Linked DNA regions of Rhinolophus ferrumequinum. The protein of the gene in region 1 interacts with the protein of each later gene in a biochemical or structural test. Links are inferred from orthologs where the notes say so. Each region holds a gene or a part of one and is shown in the gene's direction. Other genes may lie near its edges.

Evidence for each region.
Region 2: the proteins of RAD51 (region 1) and EVL form a complex in vitro, tested with the Homo sapiens proteins (2 studies listed by BioGRID and IntAct). The link is inferred for Rhinolophus ferrumequinum from reciprocal best matches to the Homo sapiens genes RAD51 and EVL.

What each region holds. Positions count from the first base shown.
Region 1 is NC_046289.1:64,419,829-64,430,606, reverse strand, and holds the start of RAD51 (DNA repair protein RAD51 homolog 1), read left to right. Parts: upstream 1-5,300; 5' UTR 5,301-5,550; intron 5,551-8,221; 5' UTR 8,222-8,237; coding exon 8,238-8,324; intron 8,325-10,778.
Region 2 is NC_046289.1:4,349,556-4,361,110, reverse strand, and holds the start of EVL (ena/VASP-like protein), read left to right. Parts: upstream 1-7,362; 5' UTR 7,363-7,645; coding exon 7,646-7,668; intron 7,669-11,555. UniProt on the Homo sapiens protein: Ena/VASP proteins are actin-associated proteins involved in a range of processes dependent on cytoskeleton remodeling and cell polarity such as axon guidance and lamellipodial and filopodial dynamics in migrating cells.

The sequences.
Region 1 (10,778 bases):
ATAAAGTGCAACACAAAGTAAGTATTCAATAAATGGTAGCTAGTACCTCACAAAACATACACATAAATTTTTCATGGGAAAACTAGATGCTTATTGAGTTTATGTGATACTGATTGAAATTCACGTCTGACTGAGTCTTAAGGATCCATAGCAAAATTGTATTCAGCTGAACTTGGGGACATATACTTGTGGAAAGGTGTTCATTTATTTACAATGCATGTCTGCTACCCAAGGACTCTTATTTTGTCAGAGTACTAGGGACGTTAAATTAATAAGGATTAGATTAGAAATAGTAATTATTAGTTAGATTAGATTGCTTGACAAATATCATCTATACAGTATTCTTATTTTTAAGAATGTTTACCCTGAATCTAATCATGAGAAAGTAAGTAACCGGGGCCAGCCCGGTGGGTCAGGTGGTTGGAGTGCCATGCTCCTAACACCTACGTTGCTGGTTCGATTCCCACATGAGCCAGTGAGCTGCGCCCTCTACTACAGCTACACTGTGAACAACAGCTCTCCCTGGAGCTGGGCTGCTGTGAGCAGCTGGACGTTAGCGTAAGCTACTGTGAGCTGCTGCAGGCTACCTTGTCGGTGGCCAGCATGAGTGGCTGGCAGCCAGCGAGAGCTGCTGTGAGCTGCCAACCGACGACTGGCAACCAAATGCCTCAGCCAGGGGGAGTGCAAGGCTCATAATACCAGCATGGGCCAGAGAGCTGTGTCCTACACAACTAAACTGAGAAACAACAGCTTGATCCGGAGTGGGAGGGGGAAGGCGGAAGAAGGGGAGAGGAAAAAAAAGTAAGTAACCAAATCCAGATTGTGGGACATTTTCTAGAAAAGTGGCTTGGATTCTTCAAAAATATCAGTCATAAAATCAAAACAAAAACAGGCAGGGGAACTCTAGACAACAGGAGACTAAAGACACTTTAGAAAGGCAATGCTTAATCCTTAATTGAATCCGTTATTAAAAAACAAAACCAATAAAGGGTATTTTGGGGATACTTGGAAATTTGAATATAAACTGTGTATTAGATAATATTCCATGTTAAATTCCTTAGGTGTGATAATGATATGGTTTATATAGGAGAATGTCCTTATTAGGAAATACGTCAGCAACTTAATTTCAAATGGCTTTTAAAAACTATTAATATATGTGTAATGTTTGTGTATATGTGTGTTTGTGTGTATGTGAGAGAAAAGGAGAGAAAAAGCAAATATAGCAAAATGTTAATAATCGATGAATCTAGGTAATGGGTACATGGGTGTTTAATTGCACTGTTCTTTCAACATTTCCGTAGGTTTGAATTTTTTTCAAAATAAAAAATTGGAAGTGAAAACTGGTTTGCTTGGTGGCCAAATAACTAGACATAGTATCTTTTCTAAGAGATATTTCATCCAGGCTTTGGGGAAGTCTGATGAATCCCTTTTGTTCTGTAAGGGTGTATCTTCTTGCAACTGTTTTTTGATGCCAAATTCTTGCTCTTGATCTTCCCCCCATCCTTTACAAATTGTCACAAAAGTTTTTATTGTGTTTTTTTTTTTAAATTGGATCGAATCTGTATTATTTTTAGTTTTTGAATGGGTAATACATCCACATGGTCCAAAATTCAAAAAGTACCAAAAGGAATGTAAAAAGTTTTGCTTTTACTCTGCCTGAAGACACCCAGCTTCTTTCTTGGAGAGAACCAATGTTACCAGTTTCTTATCTAACCTACCAAAGCTATCCTATGTACAAAAGCAAACATGTATGCAATGTTTGCTTAAGTGTATAAATATGTATTTCTTGGGGGTGGCGATTGGCTCAGTTGGTTAGAGCGGGTGCTCTTAACAAGGTTGCCAGTTGAATCCCCACATGGGCCACTGGGAGCTGCGCCCTCCACAACTAGATTGAAACAACTACTTGACTTGGAGCTGATGGGTCCTGGAAAAACACACTTAAAATAAATAAAAGTTTAAAATATGTATATATATATATATACACACATACATATATACATATATATCTTCTTTTTTACACAAATAATACACATCAACACACATGAAATTTCATTTTGCCTTTTTCACTTAACTACATATCTTGATAGGTTCAAATCAGTACATAAAGAACTTCCAACACATATTTTTTCCTTTTAATTAAATAGTAGTTCACCGGATGGATGTATCATACTTCTATTGATAGATATGTAGGTTGTCTATCACCTTTTGCTACTGTAAGCAATACTGAAATTTCACATAGTGTAAGTTTATCTGTAGGATAGTTTCCTAGAGAAATGGAGCTGTTGAGTCAAAGCCTAGTTGCATTTGTAATTTTGATAGCTATCACCAAATTGCCCTCTAAAATACTCAGGTACTAGCAAATGAGTGCCTGGTTCCTCTCCAAACTTATTAACACAGTATATTCCAAACTTTTTGATGGTATCTCTGTATGGTTTGAATTTGCATTTCTCTTATTATGTATAAGGTTGACAGTCTTTACATATATTTTAGAGCAATTTTTACCTCCTGTGTACTGTTAATAACCTTTGCCTGTTTATCTTTCTCATTGACTTGTAGGACATCTTTAACTATAAGAGGAAATAACCTTTGTGACACAGGTTGCTAAATTCCACCCCCCCAAGACACCATTTGTCATTTTATTTGACTTTATTTATGATGGGTTTTTGCCATTAAGAATTTTAAAGATATATAATTAAGTGTATTAATATATTCTTTTATAGCTTTGGGGTTTGTGACATACTTAGATTTTCCCCACTGTAAAATCCATGGTTTCTCTTAGAACTTCTGTGGCTTAATACTTGACATTTATATCTTTAATCCAGTTGGAAATATATCCTAACATAAAGTAGTGTTTGGTAAGGTCCAAATTAATTTTTCCCAGATGACTATGCAGTTATCCCAGCACCATTTAACAAACAGTCTATTTCTTTCCACACGTTGGAATACCTTTTTTATCATATACTAAATTTCTCTATGTATTCGTATATATATCTAAGCATGGTAAGCAGACTAATAGCCTTCTCCCCACCCCCCAAAGATGTCCACATCCTAATTCCTTAAACCTGTGAATGTTACTTTACATTCCAATAGGGACTTTGCAGATGTTTTGAAGGATCTCAACATTGAGAGCCTATCCTGGTTTAGCTGGGTGAGCCCAATGTGATCACAAGGATCCTTCTGAGCGAGGCCGGATATCAGAGTCGGAGAAGGAAATGTGATGATGGAAGCAGAGGTCAGAGTGATTGTTGGCTTTGAAGAGAGGAAAGGGCCTTGAGCCAAACAATGCAGATGTCTCTAGAAAATGGAAAAGGCAAGGAAACAGATTCTGTCTTAGGACCTCCAGAAGGAATACAACTCTGCCAAAACCTTGATTTCAGCCCAGTGAAACCCATTTAGGAATTCTGACCTCCAGAACTGTAACATAATACATTTTTGTTGTTTTAAGCTACGAAATTGGTGGTAATTTGTTACAGCAGTAATAGGAAACTAAGATACCAGGATAACTATTCTGTTCCATTTACCTATTTATTTTTGTTCAAATACTTTTATTTATTTTTAATTTTTTTTGTCTACGAATACTTTTAATTATTGTAGTTTTATAATATCCTGTATATCTGGTTGGCTCAGGCCCTTTTTATTCAGGATTTTCCTGGCTCTTCTTGCCTTTTATTTTACCATATAAAGGTGAGAACTAGCTTATTCAGTCCCCCAAAAAAACTTGTTGGCATTTTTAGTGAGATTATGTATTAAATTTAAAGATCAACTAATGGAGAACATCTTTAAGATGTTGAGTCTTCCATAACAAGTAGATAGGGTTAAAGTATGCTTTTTGTGTTGTAGCCTTCTTTAATATCTTAAAGTTTCCTTCATTAGGATGTGCAATTTTCTTTTTTAAATTTTTATTGGGGAGTATTGGGGAACAGTGTGTTTTTCCAGGATCAGCTCCAAGCTCAAGCCAATGTTTCTCACTGGTCCATGTGGGAATCAAACAGGCAACCATGGGGTTTGGAGCGTTGTGCTCTAACCACTGAATGAACCAGCCACTCCTGCAATTTTCTTAAGTTTATTTCAAGGCATTTAGTATTTTTGTTACAATTTTAAAATTGTCATCATAAAGTCAAAACAATTCATACCAAATAGTCAAAGAATACAGATAAAGGCAAAGTCATTCAAAAGCTTAGTGAGCATCCTCCCTAAGGATCTCTTAACTATAAAGAAGGGCAATGACTACTGGGTAGGCAACAAATAGTGACTGCCACAAATCCCTTTGGGATTTCTACTGGGAGTTCACTGATTTTGGAGAATTTTCAAGTTTATAATATTGAGCCTTCTCCTCTCGGAACATAGTTTTAGGTATTTCTCCATGTAGGTCCTGAACATTTCTAAAAGTTTATTCCCAGATATTTACGGGTTTTTTTGCTTAAAAACTTTCAATGATTTCCCCATTGCGGAAAGAATAAAGGCCAAAGTTCCATACGTGGTCTTAAGCCTCTTCATTGCCTAAAGTAAACGTAACTTTCCAGTCTCATCACCTCTTACACTTTTCCTTCCTCATTACACAATAATATTCCTTGACCACGTTGTTCAATTTCCATGCCCTTAATGCTCTGCTTGCCTTCCATCACTTGTTCTTCGGCCGAGAAATCCTATTCACTCTTTAAAACCGGAATCACTTATCAAATTTTTCCAGTAAGCCATGATAAGGTTTACCTTCTCAAAATCAATGTCTCCTTCCTCTGGAGTCCTGCAAATCTCCAGTAAAGTACCACAGTTTGACTACCATTGCTTTCTCCCCTCTACTTCCTCGATTTCCCAGTTCATCCATCAGCTCTAGCTTCCTGAGCTCCATCACTTCCAGGGACCTGGAAAGCGCCTGACTCCGGGAATTTGAATGAGTCGGAGGTTCAGAGCGACGTGCACATCTAAAAGCCCAAGTTTAGATACGTAAGTTAATCAAGAATAGCTCTCAGGAGCCAGGTTATTTCCGAGAGGGTGAGGAGTTACCGCCGCGGCGTCCGCCGGCGGTGCATACTGGGAGATGTAGTCTCGGGCCGACCCCACTATCTCTTGGGAGTTGTAGTTCTCGATCTGGTAATGAGAAGGCCGCAACTCCGAAGTTTTGAATTAGTCCTTACGAGTAAAAGGAAGAGGGTAATCCATAATATCTTGCAAGGTCAAGCTCCTTGGGCCTATCTCCGGACCGCGAGCATTGGCGGAACAAGCTAGAAGGCGGATCCGAGAGGGGCGGGGAGACGTTAGGCTGACGCAGACGTGACCCTGCCCTGTAGGGTTTGGCGGGATTTCCGAAAGCCATAGGGCAGTGGCGCGCTGCGGCAGGAGACTGAGTGCTGAGGGAAGCTGAGTTGTGCCCCGGAGCGCGTAGTTGGGAACTGGAACCCGCCTGGGTTGTGTGCAGAAGGCCAGAGCAAGGGAGTAGAGAAGTGGGGTGCAAGCGAGAGGTCTGGAATCCGTCCGGGGTCGGGCGCGCGCTGGGCCAGCGGACAGGTCGGAGCGCGCAGTCCGCCGGAACGAGTAACGCTGCAGGCCTAGGTGAGTTTGTCAGGCGCTGACCGGGCCCCTTTCCATCGCCAGCTTCATCCCCGCGTTAGCCAGACAGGGACCCGGCACCCGGGCCCGTGTTCCCGCAATCGACTTAGGGTGCCGCTCTGCGCCAAGTGAGGCTGGGGCGTGCCCGGGCCTGGATCTCGGTGTGGCGAAAACGGTAGCCGACCCGTCTTTAGAGCTGAGAGGAACCTTTTTGAGGCTTTCCTTAACAACACCTGTTTTATGGCGGTGGACGAGGAAGCCGAGATCCAGAGAGATGTAATGACTTAGTAAAATTGCAGCCGTCGTATGTTAGAACCAGGGTTTCCGGATTTCTGGTCAGCCTCTTTCCGTTACACCATACTTCGTTTACAAAGTACCAACCTCCAGTTGCCAAAAAGATTTTCATTAGCTAATCGGAAGACCGTTCACGTGATACTTTGGGAATGATACGTAGTGAGCTGTAGATTTTTTAAAATCTTCTAAAGTGAAGTGTAATATACATGTAGAAAAAGCGACAAAAGTGTATACAGCTCCATGAATTATTACATAATATACCTGCATAATTACCACACAGGTCAAAAAATAGAATGCTGTCAGCACCCCCAGAAGACTCTCTGTGCCCCCTTAATATTCTCCCTTCTTCCCAAAGGCAGCCACGGTATTGACGACTAAGACCGTTGACTAATTTTGCCTGTTTTTTAATTTTGTATAATACTATATAATTTATATTTTTTGTGTCTGGCTTTACTCAACATTCTGTCTGTAGATGAGTACAGGTTTTTGCATATAGCAGTAGTTTTTTCTTGTTGTTATATTGTATTCCTTATTCATTCTACCCATGGTGGACGTTTGGGTTGTTTCTAGTTTTTAGCTTTTATGAAAAAAGCTGCTGAGAACATTCCTATGTACGTTTTGGTGCAATGTGAATGATTTTCATTTGGTTAATAATACAAAGTAGTGAAATTCCTGGGTTATATAGCATTTGTCTGTCTTCAACTTTCACATTTAATGCCCATTTTCCAAAGCTGTACCAGTTTCCACTAAAATCAGCAAAGTATGAGGGTTTAGTTGTTTGACATGTTTGCCAACACTTGATATTGTCAGTCTTTTTAATTTATTCTGGTGGGTATACAGTAATATCTTGTGGTTTTAATTTGAATTTTCCTGATTAATGAGGTTGAGTATTTGTTCAAATGTTTATTGGCCATTTTGATATCTCCTAGTAGTGAAGTGCTTATTTAAATTTCTTGCCTGTTTTTCTCTTGGGTTATCTTTCTTGCTGATTTGGAGGAGTTCTTTACTATATATTCTGGTTATTAACCCTTGGTTGTGTATGTGGTGAATATTTTCTCCCCTCACTATAGTTTTACTTTTCATTCTCTTAGTGGTGTCTTTTGATGGATAGAAGTTCTAAGTTTAAGAACTCTTTATCGTGAAGTCGTGAAGATATTTGCCTATATTCTAAAAGCTTTGTTTTACCTTTTACATTTAGACCTGTAATCTAAATTGGAAATTGATTTTTTTCTGGGTTGTTTTTTTCTTCTATAAGGCTATCCAATCAACCCAGCACCATTTATTGAAAAGACCAGCCTTTCTCCACTCTGCTGTGCTATCTTTTCAATAAATTATGAAGGGAGAGATTTAGATTTAAATTGCATTCAGGTGATTTAGATATTTGGAATTATCATAGACACATTATGGTAAATCTGCCATCTAAGAGATCTGTACCTGAACCAATCAAGAAAAAATAGTCATCTTCTGTCAAGTCTCTTAAGAATGGAGATTTTATTTGAGTTAAATTTATCCCTATTGTTAAATTGTCCAGATTGTTTTGGTGTAGTATAAGTCCATTCTTGTGGACATTATGACTTGTTCACTTTTAATAATACCTCTTGAAGTTAATTTAAAAATTTTTGTTCTCAGTTCTTTTCAGTCTGAGCGATCTTAACTCTATCATAATAACCAGACTTTAGGTATAGGCCTTACGCTTATATGGAAGATTTCAGACTGAGCAGGGTACTTGCATGTCATTTATTCATTCATTTGTACATTCACTGAGATCTGGAATTAATTAAAATGGTAATCTTTAAATTTCATACACTCCTGTTAGAAGCTACAAGTTAGGATCCTTAACATTAGTCCACTCTTTCTCTTTCTGTAATGGAGGCTTATGGGCAGTCATTCTGTACCTTTATTTCACTCCTTTCCACCACCCCCAAATCCCGCTTGCTGGAAGAGAACAATGGAACTGAAGTAGTTTAACTTTTCATCATTTTGTTTTTAATTTATGTAGAGTCCTGGAAATTCTGCATTCATTTACCAAATATTTCCCAAACATCTAGCGTTTATAATGTATCATGGGGGGGGTATACAAATAAATAAGACTTGGCCCCTACCCTCAAGGAATATTGAAACAGGAAGAAACAGGGGACATAGTTGATCTAGTTAAGCTTTAGAAATCAAAATAGTGCTGGCTGTTCCTAAAGTTTTTCTGATACAACTAGCTAGGTGGAAGGGAAAACTGGGGAGAGATTTGTTTTTCTTTCCTGCCATGCGTAGGTCAGTGATTAGACCAAAAGCCTAGCAAGTAATTCTTCGGAGATTTATTGCAAAACTAAGTTTATAGCTCTGTACTTTCTCTTGTGTTCTTCTGATGGCCATCTGTATTTTTCAGTATTGAACACTAAGTAATGGCTATGCAGATGCAGCTTGAAGCAAATGCAGACACTTCAGTGGAAGAAGAGAGCTTTGGCCCACAACCTGTTTCACGATTAGAGGTATGTGCTTAGTTGCAAATTTGGGAATTAGAATGCTGGACTAGGTTCTTCTACCTGTTGGGAGAAATCACAACCTTTGCATAAACCCTTGGTTTACTACCTATGGTCAAGACCCAAATTAGAGTTCAGAAGAGTTGTCAAGGATCCCGTGAAACGGCTTAAGATAGTCACTAAACATTTTTGGGCAGATGTCTTTTTTTTTTTTTTCAACATTTATAAAATATATTTTATTTGCTGCTATACTAGATGGGTATTTTTGCCAATAATAAAGTGGTATATTTAATATTTCCTATGCAGTTCTGTGGCCATGTGTTCTGTTGTGCTTGCCAGAATCCTCCTATATTATTAAGCACTCTTTCTAGACACTAGAGCTTTTGAATTTATTGCATCTTTTCCCACTGAAAGTGCTCTTCGTTGACCAACAAAGCCAGCAAGGACCACTAGAGGTCATTCTTCTGCCTTTTCAGGTGCCTCCAAATGCTCCCAGACAGGTTTGTATCCAGAGGCTTCTAAATGTCCACTAGGCGGTACAGCCCAACAGTAAATATGCACGAGGGTTAATGGGGCTGTCAGAGACGACTGTGCACTCTCCTTCCTGGAAGGAGGACACAAGCCCAGCAAACTCCTGCATAAGCTAAGGATAGAATTCTGCCACGAATATTTATCCAGCAGCTATTTGTGGAAACTCCCGTGCCAGCTGAGTGCTAAAGTGGGTGATGGTAGGGCATCAATGATAAAGAAAACGAGACTTGCCTTTAATCAGCTTACAAACTCCTGGTGCTGTGGCGGTGGTCATGTTACGGGCAGAGGCACCACTTTAACAAACATCCTCCTTTGTCCCAAGCCCTGGGCTAAACACGGGGTACACAGTGGAATAGAGCATGGCCTGACCTCTGGAAGCTTCCAGGTTGTTGTGGAGGACAGACACCTACACTGATGAGAGTCATGTCATGATATGCCGAGCTAGCACAGCTGTGCCCTACCACGCAGTAATGTGCATGCTAGCAGTGTACGCTGGTGTCACAGAATGGAGGGATAAACAACCCTGTCGAGAGGGAAGGAAGGCTTCCTGTAGGAGGTGATCATGAGCTGAGTCTTGAAGGATGAAAAAGGAGAGAACTAGGCAAAGAAAAGAGGAAGTTTGTTCTAGACAAAGGGAGAATGTGAGCAAACTGAAGAGGAGCGATGATACAGCTAGCTCAGATCTCTTTTTCAAGAATTTTCCTTCTACTTGATCACTTTTCTTTCTCAGACCTGGATTGTCAGAAACTAAGAAGCCCTAGGACCTCATGGTGGAGTCTGGTCTGTTTGTCCTAAGTATGAAATTACTGTCCAGGGAATTACAGTGGCCTGGGCTGGTGATGTAGGGATAGGAAGACCCAGATCTGTGCTGAAGTTACTAGCAAGACAGCTGTCATGGGGGGCAGGGAGAAGGGCTTGTAGTTGTTAAGGTACAAGAGCCAAGTTCCAATTCAGGATTCTGCACAAGAACATCAAGCACCAGAGCTGGATGGAGGCTTGCACTATGTCTGCCCATTTTACAGAAACTGCAGTGTGAGTGAATCTGATATGGGCTGAAAGAAGTAGGAGGGAAAGCAGAGAAAGCCTTCATTCTTTTGTCTCTTTACACATATTCTTCCCATCCTTAACTAAGCTTCAAGACTCCAGAAGTTCCTTAAACAGGTTTGTGATAAACATTAGAGAGTTCAGAATTATAACTTGAGGTGTCATGAGCATCCTGATACCCACACATGTGTATTGCTTAACTATTAATAGCAGGCATGGTTTCTAGGGGCAGATACCATTCTCTCCTGTCTTCCAAACCTTCCTTGACCACCAAATTAACTCATCCCCCCATTAACTCATACACATTCCCCCATTAACTCATACTCTCTCAGAAGTCATGGTTTTGGTGGCTGATAAAACCAAAGCTGACTGTATATAGGGAGAAAGAGGTGCCTTTGGGTAGTTTGTTTTGAGTAGTGGTATGTAAGCCCCTGACCAAAGTAGCTTTCCCCATTCTCAATGTTGGTTCTATTCATTGTGTTACAAAAAGGGTATTGATACGCTACTGTAGTGCTTCCCTCAGCTCAGGGGCAGCCTCATCTGTTTATCCCAGCTTAGTGTAAAAAATATTATTTTTTAGGTGTGCTTATGTGGAAGACATTGGGAAGTACTGGTTTAAAGTGGTCTTTTAGGACTCATGGTCTCAAAGTTCATTTAGCGTCCCAGTCATAAAAGGTTGAGAGTTACAGGTTTATTCTCAGTGCTTGGGAGTTACTGGTTTAAACCCAGTTCATGATGAGTCCATTTCAAGATACATGAGATAGTGCTAGTTTAAACTCCTGGTTTTGAAAAAATGGAAAGGTTGATAATTTGTTTTTAAATACCTTATATGAAGGGTACACTTTTCAAAGCTTTTGCATATATCACAGTTCTTCCAAAAAGCCCTGT
Region 2 (11,555 bases), about 60 Mb from region 1:
GTTATGTTTTTAGCTTTTTGAAAATTATGCTTTGCCAGAATGAGTACCTGTTGAGGAGATAAGCGTCTCAGGTGGCTCGGCTGAGTGGGCTTTGAGTAATTAGCCCTGAATTCCCACAGTTACGGGTTTTTATCTAGATTCTGTTTTGGTCACTTGGAGAGTACGTTGTATTTATGAATCATGTAGCTATATGGCCTGGATGAATACTTAAAATTGCTGCCATATCAGGATCTCAGAGGGCACAAAGTAAAAAAGGGTCATTTCTTTTGTTGTTAATAATAGTACAATTATTTATTTTCGTAGCACTTTCAGTTTACAAAGCACTGGCACACCTGCTATTGTGTTTGGCCCTCACAGCTTCTTGGTGAGGGAGCAGAGCAGGAATTATTCTCCACATTTTGTAGGTGAATAAGCTGACACTCTGGACTCTGACAGATAAAGTGACTTGCCAGAGGGTACTCAGCTGTTAAGAAGTGGAGCGGTGGCTGGAGCCCCGCTCTTCACTCTCCCAGCTCACGGCAACTGCGTAATGGAACCGGATTTCAAGAGGATCTTGACGCGAACAGTGAGTTGCAGCTGGAAAATACCCACATGCTAACATAGTAACTATCAAACCCTGTGTGCCGGCTTCACACACGGTGCACAGATTCACCATTGCTGACTCGTTGTAGATTGCTGAGTGTGTGTGGTCTGCTCCTGACTGCTGGCGAGGCCTGTTCCCGCCTCCCTCCCTCTCGGGGAGAGAGCGGTGCGGGACACACAGCAGGTGCCCAAGAAAAAGTTCTTGATTGAATATATGAATTTGCCTTATGTGCTTTTATCTTCCTGGTTCTCCCTCTGTTCCTGGTAAGATTTTCTTGGCAGGATCTGAGTGACATTGGAACAGCTGTACTTGTTCATTCCAAAGGATAATCTGCCCTTCATTGGATGCTCTCACCAGAAAGAGGACTGCTGACTTAATCGAATTTCATCTTTTTATGAAATCTTCTCTCTAAATCTCCAAAGTGCTGCTTCATTAATTCAGCAGATACTTAATGAATAATTCCAGCTGCCAGGCCCTGGGATGGAGTAATAAAGATGCGTCAAGGTCTTCCGCTCACTCCTGGAGCTTACACTTCTTTGGCTTATGGTCCTGGTGGTGCTCTCAGTGTTTCTGTTGGAATATTTTCCGCCTTTGCTCTGCTTCACTAGTAATCTAAGAACCACGTGAAACAACTCAGTTGTGAGAAAGACGGTCTGTCAAACACACCTAACTACAATCCATCAACTTCTCTCGTCTTCTCTGCCCTCTGAGTCCAGACCCCTCATCTCTTACCTGGAGTGTTGTCACAGCGTCTAACTGGTCTCCTCACTTCCATTTTTCTTCTAAAATGAAAACCAGGTCATGTGACTGCCCCCTAAATCAAACTCCACAGTGGCTTTCCTGGCTGAGAAAGCCTGTCTGCGTCTCCCTCTGCTCCTCCTTACTTCTCTGTTCCGACCACACTGTATGAGAGGGACGAAAACCGCACTTGTCACCGTAGGCCTTTGCGCCAGCTGTCTTCTCTGCCTGCAGTGACCTTTCCCTGATGTTTGCTAACTGTCCCCTGCTTGTCATTCAAATCTCAGCTTAAATGTCACTACCTGCGGGGGCCTTTCCTGTCATCACCTCTTAGTAGCCCCCACGCACTGTCTAGCATATTGCCCTATGTTATCATCTTTTTCTTACTCCGCATCTGGCTTCCTCCATGAGAATGGAAGCACCGCAGAACTAAGGGGTTTGGCCGTCAGGGCTCTCTGTGCAGCACCTCGAGTGGTACCTAGCACATAGTAACTCTTTGAGTGTTGGTTGAGTGAAAGCAAGGATAATTTTCAATAACCAGGTACAGATATTGAGAAAGTGCATATTTGAGGAGAGGCATTGGTGTAGCCAGGAATGCAGAAGTAATGATCGATGAACTCCTACTTTTGGGTAGTGAGGGGTAAACTGAAAATGTGTCGTAATTGTGTTTGCTTTACGATAAAACGCTTTTTGGGGGTAGCTTTTGTTAATAGAAGTAAGGGATGGCTTAATTTAAAACTTATTTTAAAGTTAAATATCACTTTAGAAGTTCAGTTGAATTATGTAATTTGGGGAAAAGATTTAGTTCAGAGTGTAGGACTCACACATTTCTTACTGATTCAAGAAGCATTTAAAAATTTTTGGAAATGTTAATTCTACTGGAATAAAAACACATTCACTGAATTCAAAAAGGTTTTGACCAGAGACCTACTGTGTGCCCAGGAATGTGTTGTGCCTTGGGAAGGCTTAAAAGGGACTAAAAACAAAGGTCACTGCTAGTGGGCTTCCCATAATTTCAAAATAGAAGAATTTGGGGGTGGTGGCCCAGAATTAGAATGGATTTCTCTAGGAGCTGTATTTTTGCCTAGCAAGCATGCTGTTTTTACTTAGGTTGTTTATATATTTCAGATGAAGGTTACAAGGAACTAAACTCCTAAGGTACCTTCTGTCGGCCCCCTCCGTGCCTGTCCTCAGCGACTCTCAGCAGGTTAGAGGCCTGAGACAGGTAATGGACAACGGCTACTCCTCAGCCCAGGCCGATATGTGAGATTAAAAATATATATCTATTGCCTCTCAGGCATTCTGAAGTTGTCATGGTCACCATGGGCTGGTTTATGTTAGGAGGGGAACTCGATGGAGTTTTGAAGCATATGCCACAGTGTTAGCTGCTGTCGATGGTGGTTCATGTGTGCCAGGGGGTCACCTCTGGGGCACCCCCAGATGTGCTGTGATCCCGTCTTCGGATTAGGATACTGAGGCTTAGACGGGTAAGAATTTGTCCGAAGCTTCTCAGGTTGACAGTTGAACTGGATTCAGAAGCACACTTTCCAAACCGTTGTGGAGAGAAGGCGGAAGGAGGAAAGCTCTGGAACAGGGGAGGTGGCGTGAGTAAGTGTGCCGGGTCAGTGGGGATCTGGTTGGCACGTGTGGGAGGTGTGTGGAGGAGCTGAATGCCAGGCTGGGGGCGAGACTTCATTCTGCGGGTTTCAACTGGAAGGTGCCAGGACAGGTGGCTGTGTGCAACAGGGAGGAAGGCAGGCAGGAAGATGGAGGTGAGGGGAGTCTTAATTAGGGTGCTGGAGGTGAGGCTCCAGTGAGGACACTTGTGAGTGCCTCTTACCTCCACTCGGCCCCCTGCTTGTTGGAAAAACCCACGGATGGGCCGTGAGGAAAGAATCGTATTTTTAGTCATGACTGTAACTGATTTGCATTTAAGTCTCCTCTTGGTTGTCTATACACAGCTCAGCAGTGCGCGTGCACCTCTGTAAGTGTCAGAAGAGCGTTTCTGTTCTACTTGATGGGAACATTAGACTCTCTTCATTTGCTCCGTCTTTATTTTGCTGCACGTACATCATGTCAGGGCTGTGTGCCTACAGCCTAAACACAGTGGGAGAGGAGACACTGCTTGTGAGGCAAACCCACAGGGATTTACACTCTCAGACCATCAGCCTCCAAACGAGCTGGGGTGAGGATTTGGCACCGACAAATCCGAAGTTCACCTTTGTGGGAAATTGACCATTTCATGGGGAAAGACGTTGCTTGCTGAACCTGTTAAGCTAAGAGCACTGTTTCAGATAGATTTCAAACATCCCTCTCATTTAGCTTCCCCAGTTGTCAGGGGCCGGGGGATACCTCATGTTCACCATCATGTTTTTGTTCAGTATCTGTTTTGTTTCTGGAGATGCCAGCATACACGTCCAGTAACTGCAGCAGGCCAGGCCCAGATGGCAGCAGGGCCTAGTCAGGAAGCTTTGGTGCTTAGGATGAGACTAGAAAGAGGGAGTGAGTCCAGATTAACTAGGCTGAGTGTGATGACATGAGCCTGGCGAGGCCCTGGGTGCTGGCACTGACGAGCTGCCAGGTCACTTAGGCCAGGTGGTTGCACACTGCGGCAGGGCCTGTCCCTGCTGGGGAGAGAGGAGACCCGGCAGCAGGGACTCGGGCTCTTCATTCCTTCGGCCGGAATTGGCTACTTGGATCCGTTTTCTGTTCTTATCAGCTTTACCTTCCACGGAAGTGGTATTTTAGAAAACAGAAGGCTAAAAATTTAATATCTGGCTGTTCCTTGAAAGTGACAAAGGACACACAAGTCCCAGAGTAGCAACATGCTTTCTCCGAGCCTTGAGTCATTGGTGGACGACCTGGGATGACTTTTTTTTCCCAACACTGTGTGGTCACAGGAGTGCCATTGAGTGAGGCGTGGAGTGGTCAGGAGTCAGGGACCCTTACTTATGTCCTTATTCCTAACACTTTGGTGTTACCGGTTATCAAGAGGTCACATGGGAGCACCCAGCCTTGGAAGCAGACCCAGTTCCCAACCTGGTCCTGAGACTATGTCAACTCAGGTTTCCACCCCTTCCTTCCTGGGGCAGCTGAGGCTCTCTGGAGCCCTTAGCGGTCTCTTGCCTGGCCGTGAAATCTGGGGATTAGCCAGGGTCCAGCAGGATGAAAGAACCCCAGAGAGTGATCATGTCCCAGCCCTCTGTCAGGCACAGGCTGCCTGGCAGTCTCTCAGGGAGGCAGCCTGGGGCAGTTGGATCATTGGTATTGGGACGCCAGGAGGGCACAGAGGTTAAAAACCTTGGACCTGGGTCCAAGTCATTGCTCTGCCACTTAATAGCAATATAACCTTGGCCAGGTTACTTAACCATTTGGCACCCAGTACCTTATTAGTAAATTGGGGGATCTCATAAAATTCTGTTTAAAATACACTTGGTGCTAGGATTTGGAGATTTTTCACCGTTTCTGTCCGCTCTGCGCTCTCCCTTCTGAATGGCCCTGAAAGAGGCGATTCTTGAGTCACTGGTAGAGAAAGGCACAAAGTCCAGAGGTTCTCCGTCCCACCAGGCCGGTCACACTGGGCCTGCCTGGTGGCCAGGGGAAAGGCCAGTTCCCACTGGGCCAGACGGCTGGGAGTTAAGACCCCTGCAGCTCCTCTCCATACCTTGCAAAGAGTGCCAGGAATGGAGGTTTTGGCCTTTCTACCAACCAGCAAACCCATCACGTAATACTGAGTGTCTCCTTGCCCTCGGGAAGCTTGCAACTGGTTGATAACCAGCTGCCCCAACCCCACTTATCTGACTAACCCCAGGTAGTTTAATAAATAAAAACATCATATAATTGTATTTGGTGTGGGTGAGTTGTTCTTCCCAAGACTTAGGTCAGCTCCAGTGCTTTATTTTTTAACTTAGGATTTAGGACAGTGATTTTATACACATATCCACACATCCCTTGTCCTGAGAATCACAGGACAGCAATACCTTCCTTGCTCCTCTTCCGCTCAAAAAAAACAAAAGTAAACAAGCGACCAGTGAACGGGCAGACAGAACACTTGAGGGAGGCGGGTGGCCTCAGCACGAAGAGCCGGCAGCTATCAGCTCTGCCCGGGGAGACCGGCTTGTGAAGTAACAAAGGGGAGGAAGAATGTTCCTATAAAATTTGTGTACGTGATGAAGACCGCTCACGACTCCACTGTCCCACCTTGTGGGGTCCTTACAAGCATTCTGTGACAGAGGCGTGGGCAGTGTCCACATTATTCCAGATGTACCTCTGGGGAATCCCAGGCTCGGGACTACGTTGCTTGTCAGTGATCACAGAGGCAGAGCTGGGACTTCAGCCTGGGTTAGTTAATGGCTGACTCCTGTGTTTTCTGTTATGCCATGATTCTGCCCCTAGAAGGTCTCAGGCAGAGACTTGTGCGGAATATTGTGGGAGACGTTCTGGATCCTCTTAGTTGATGATTGCTATTTGGTGTGAGGGACCATGGGGTTCCCCAAAATTTCTTTCTCACTAATCAGTCCGCCTCAGTTGGCCATTATCGCTTCATTTCTTTGCGGCAAGTTCTGGACTCTCACTTCTCTTCATGATAGAGGTAACGTAAGAAAAGGGGTGCGGTCATCCCAGAGCACCTCATACAAGAACCAGGTCACTCTCCCTGGTAGAAAGCTGCACAGAAGGAGGTTCATTCAGCGAACCTCTGTCAGGCTCCGTACCAGGCACTGGAAATACAGAAACAGTCTCCCGCAGCCCGCGTCCTCAAGGACCACAGATGCGTGGGGCGCACGCAGCATGCTGTAAGGCGGTGCCACCGGCAGCAGGGAGAGCGAGTGGCTAACGGTCCTGGGGACGGAGCCGAGGGAACAGTATGCACTGCTTGGAAGGGCGCAGGTCACGTAGGGGGCAAGGGATAATCTGGGCAGTTGGCCCATGGACCAAAGAAAGGAGGTCCTGGCAAATTTAGGGAACTGGGGCTGTCTGGCTAGATTTGGGGGTTTGTGAAGAGTTTTAATGGAAGAAAGAGTTGGAGAAGTCAGATTCGGTATGCTGGGCTCAGGCATTTTCACTTAATCCTATGGGCATTGAGAAACTAATGCAGGTTTCAAATAGGGGGCATGAAAATCAGATTTAGAAAAATTGCTCTGGCAGGTTTTGAGAGAAGGGATGGAAAGACCAGTTGCTAACACAGCAGACCAAGTGAGAAATGCTGGAGGCATGATGCTGCAGGTGTGAGCTCAGGCCGTTGGTGGGCGTGGGGAAAGGGTCAGATTCAGAGAAACCTTTTTGAGGTAGAATCAGAATTAGTGATTATATTTGTGGTATGAGGGAGAGAAAAAAGTCAAGAGTGACTCACAGGTTTTTATTTAAGATCTGCCTCCCTTGTTTTATACAGATTTGCAGTCCAAATGAGAAAGACTCTTCTTAATGGCAAGTTCAGAATGCAGTCGCAGCTCATTTGCCAGATCTTGCCAGCTTGGGCTTTACAAACTGGTAAACATTTCCCTTTTTTGGCTGACATCTCGTTTCTTTTTTTTTTTTTTTTAAACTTCTGTTCTGAAATTATTACGGCAATTTTTGTACATCAAGGAATTGATAAGACCCTGGTACCTATTAGACACTCAATAAATGAATAACTGAATAAATGAGATCAGCCATCACGATTGACCTAGAAGGTCACGTTGTTCATGGTAAAGAGGTGGGCATAAAATGGGACTTTTGTGATTCCAAAGCAGTTCATGCGTTTGTGATAAAGTAATGCTTGGTAGGGATGGGTAAGATTCAGAATTCTGCAGAATTTTCAGTCCAGTGTAGCTGGGTTTCACTACACCATGTTCGCTGACCACGGTGGTCATACCTGGTCATTAGAGCAGCAGCAGCCACAGGAAGATGAGGTAATCAGGCAGACCGCAGTAGAACAGGTTGCATTCTCATTCCTTTTTGCTTTTGCCCCCCTGCAGAATTCTGGGTGGAGGTGGGATGTGTTCTGTGATTCACCGAGGATCCCAGGCGTGCCCGAGGTTCCACTTATTTCCCTGGACTAATCCAGCTCCCAGCCTGGAGCCTAAGCATACACTGCATTAATCAGACTTGCTGGAATGATCACATGGTTTTCGTGCTGCCTCCCCTGTTAGCTGCCGCCTGTCAGCAGCTGGCAGAGCTGGCGGCTGCAGGCCCCTGTCTGCAGAAAGCCTTTTACTTCAGAATCTTGGGGGGTGTGGAAACCCCGCCTCTTTTTCCTGCACTTTGCACCATCTGACTGACTAAATGGTTGTCCTCCAAACCAAAAAGGCTACCAGACAATCTAAGGAAATTGTCTCTGACTAGGTCATGTTCGCATTTGAAGAATTCAGGTATGCTCTGGGTTTTCTACATCAGTCTGCCGCTGGGTTTTTGTTCTCGTAGGTTTTTGCTGTGTAATGCCAGCTTAGGTTCTGGCTGGTTCTCAGACAGAAAGGGGTTCTTCTCTGCATTTGGTGGGGTTTACCCCAGTCGGGGTGGGTGGGAGGCACAGAGGTGGTGCAGATCCAAGGTGTTTACCGCATGCACAAACGCAGCATGGATAATTGGTATGATGGTGTGCAAATTTGCAGAGGACCCCACCTTGTGCCTTACTTGAGGTGCTGTTGCTGATGTAGAGTTGTGAATACAGAATGGTAACTGTTTATCCAGAATGAGTCTCTGGCTATCTTTTGTTTTTCTTCCTTTGTCAAACTCATGGAGTCTACTGCTCTCTTAAAAAATGCTAATCGTAACAGCGAATTCTGCACATCTGTCTGCTCAGTTGAGATTTGATTCGGGCTCTGATTTTCCTCATTGTCAATAGCAATCTTGTGTCTGGCCAGTTTCTGGGAAGTGCCCTGAATGTTTTGTTAACAGGGCCCTTCTTTGCTTTTGCAAGCTTTTCAGCTGCTCTATTATTAATGCTCCAAATTAGAGTCTTTTGTGAATCTTACTGCTTCTCTTTCTTCCACCTCTTCTCCGGGAATCTGTCCCTGGGTGTGAATGTGGGAAGGGATGTTCCCACATTCCCACAGAGATAGTTTCTAAGACATGAAAATAAGAAGGTGGAATGGGAGGGTTATCTGATCATGCGTGTGCATATTTCCATGTCTTTGGAACATATGGAAGAGAGTGTATCTGTGTGTGTGTTTCTAACCTCTGACAGCTTCTCATTTCTCAAGAGGAATTTCTGTGTATTTTAGAACTGAGCATAAATACCATGTCGATGGTCAAAGAAGTGACTGTGAGGCAACCTCCATGCTGCTGCTACAGACATTAAATGTTGATAGAGTAACCACTTTCCATTATTTGTAAGAGGAAACTAGAGACCTTTCCATCAAAATCAAGGAAGTAGATGAGAGAATCATCAGATTTCCACAAAGCAGGGCTACAAAGGTGGCCCTTTTTATAACTTGGGGCTTTGGATCCAGGAAGTTATTCTTTGTTTAATAGCATGTTCCTGCATTATTTCTAATGGACTAGGCTTGTGCAAAGGACATTCTTTTCATGTGGCAACATGCTCTGGTGACATGGGGCCTGTGCCCTTACACAGTGACCAGAACTTACTGTTTTGTAATAGCTCCACTAATTACTAACAAGAACTTATTAAATGTTTGACATATTACAGTAGCTTGTTCCTTAGGGAATGAAACAGGAGTCCTGGGTTCTAATCCCAGTTTCAAAATTAGCTTTTCTGATCCTTGTGAGAGTTACAAAAGAATTTTATAAATTATAGAAAGTAGCATAATTATGAGGGTCGTATTTGATTGTTAGCATTTAATCTAGATGGAGTGAGCCTTACCTGCTGCCTGGAACAAAGCTGGGAGCCTTCGCTGCATTTCATAGTTAAGGGACACAGACATGTATCGACAGAGCCGTACCGTTGCGGTGGCTCCTCGCCCAAGAGCCCAGAGCTGGGTCTGATGAGGTGGAAAGGGGTCAAGGTAAAGGCCACTGCACTGCTGACCTGAGAAGTGGGGCCTCCGTGGAAAGTAGGCCAGAAGGAGGAAGCCTCTGACCCGGCGTCAAGCTTCTGCCTGAGCCAGCCCTGAAGAGCTTGGCTGCGTGTGATTGCATTGTGACGGCTGCTCAGCACCAGACAAATGGCTTTCTTCTTTAGTCACAGAGTTTGCGTGTGCCGGGGCCAGGTGATCACGGTGGGGCAGCAGAGACTAAAGATGCTTAGCCCGTTCGCTTAGGTCAGGGTGGCTCCTGAGCTGCCGGATGCAGCAGTCTTCACCTGGAGAGCTCGCCACCTGGAGAGCTCGCGGAACTCGGATTGCTCAGGCCCCTCCCGGAGGTTCAGATCCAGGAGGTCTATGGTGAGGCTTGAGAACCTGCATTCCTAACAAGTTCCCAGGTGATTCTGATGCTGCAGGTCTGAGAACATTGGCTTGGGGAAAGCAGATGTTGTCACTGAGATGGGAAGTTGGAGGCAAAGGCAGAATGGAGATACAGGTGGGAAAAAAATCAGGAGCCAAAAGCAGCAGCTCAAGTACAGGTAGGAGGACCCTCAGAGCGTCTTGGTCAAGGGGAGGTCAAACCATGGCCATGTCACAGCAGCCCTCCTCCTCCTGGGAGGCCTCAGAGCAGTGGGAAGAGGAATGCGGGGTGAGAATCAGGCCTTGGCTTATAATCCTGATTCTGTCGGATTCAGGTACTACTTTGTGGGCTGCGCAGGTGTCTTGATATTTCTCAGTCTCCATTTTCTCAACTGAAAAATGGGGATAGCAGTTCTTGCCAAGCAAACCTGTAATGCTGTCAGCAATCAGTGAGGGCTTAAACTTTATACATTACAGCGCTCTTTCTACGTGAATGTCAGGGGAGGAGGGTGCTGGGGGGACCCCATCAGCTTGTCCACGATGTTTATGGTCCTCCCGTGTGGATACACCCCTCCATACACACAGCCCAACCCTGAGAGCATAAGGGCCACGTTCATTTTAAAAAGGAAGTCTGGTTTTGATACAGACACATGTACATACCATTGTTCCCTACTGGACTACAAGTTCTCGAGAACTTTCATGAATCCTGTGTTTTTAACTTTGCTTCCTTCGTGCCTAAAACTGCTTGACATACAGTAGGCCTTAATAAACAGTTGACACAATTCATTTTCACGATGATTTAACAAGGAAATGCAGGCAAGCTATGTGGCCGGCTCAGGGCAGGCCCGCTATTGGTGCCATGGTGGCCGCAGAATGTGCTAGTTCAGAAGAGCACGTTGAAAAGCTGACAACTGACCAGAGAAAAATGCAAAGTGTCCTCAGCACACCCCAGTTGCTGGAGTGCCAGAGAACTCCGGTCACATTTCCTAAGGAATCTCTACAGATGATCTTACTCTAGAATGTGCTGAAGACTCTAATGATTCGCTAGGGCCCAGGGCCCAGCCTAGAGCTGCAAAATCCCGACAGTGTGAGGCCAGGCCAGCGTTTTCCAGCCATTAGGGGCTTTCTGCCTGCCATTGACCACAAGTCTGTGTTGTCCTAACACCAGGCAAGCTGTCCTCGCTGGCTGTTGGGGCAAACACACTTCACTTGTGTTTTTGCCTTTTAAAAAAAACCAAAAACTTCCTCGACAAGATGTGTACTCAATTAATAGTTTAAGTAAACACTTGCTGTTCCTCCACACCACACGCTGCCATGGGGTAGGTACCACCGGAGCAGCTTTGTGGGACTCTGGCTCTAGACCCAGAATAGTGACCACGTTCCCTTACCATCCCCAGAATGAAGCGTTTTAAAGTGATTTTTGGCTCCATAATCCCTCAAGTGAGACTGGAACCCAAATCAGAGATCACTGTTTCTCAGAATTCCTGATACTTGACTTATTCCGACTTATTTGCAGAGGAATGTGGTATACCAACGCCAAGGTCTGAAATCCACGTTAGAATGTGTCAATCACGAAAATGTTACTTGTTGAGTCTGTTTGGTTTTAATTATTTTATTTTTAAATGTTATGGAAGGGCTGAGGTTCAGACTCTAACTAGCTCTGTCTTTATTAATTCAAATTGATATCTAGTCTTGGGAAATGTACCTTTCTTGCGCTTTCCCTGGAATAGTGAAACAAGTTAAACTGAGCGGGGTCAGGGCAGCCCTGATGTCCGCAGCCCAGGAGAGCCCACCAGGTGGGTGGCAGTGCCAGCTCAGTCCCCAGGGTCCTGGGGTGCCTTAAAGAAACAGATACTTCGGTATAGCGACTTTCCCACAGTGGCGCGGAGCTCCGTCTCAAGTCCATAGGAGCTGGG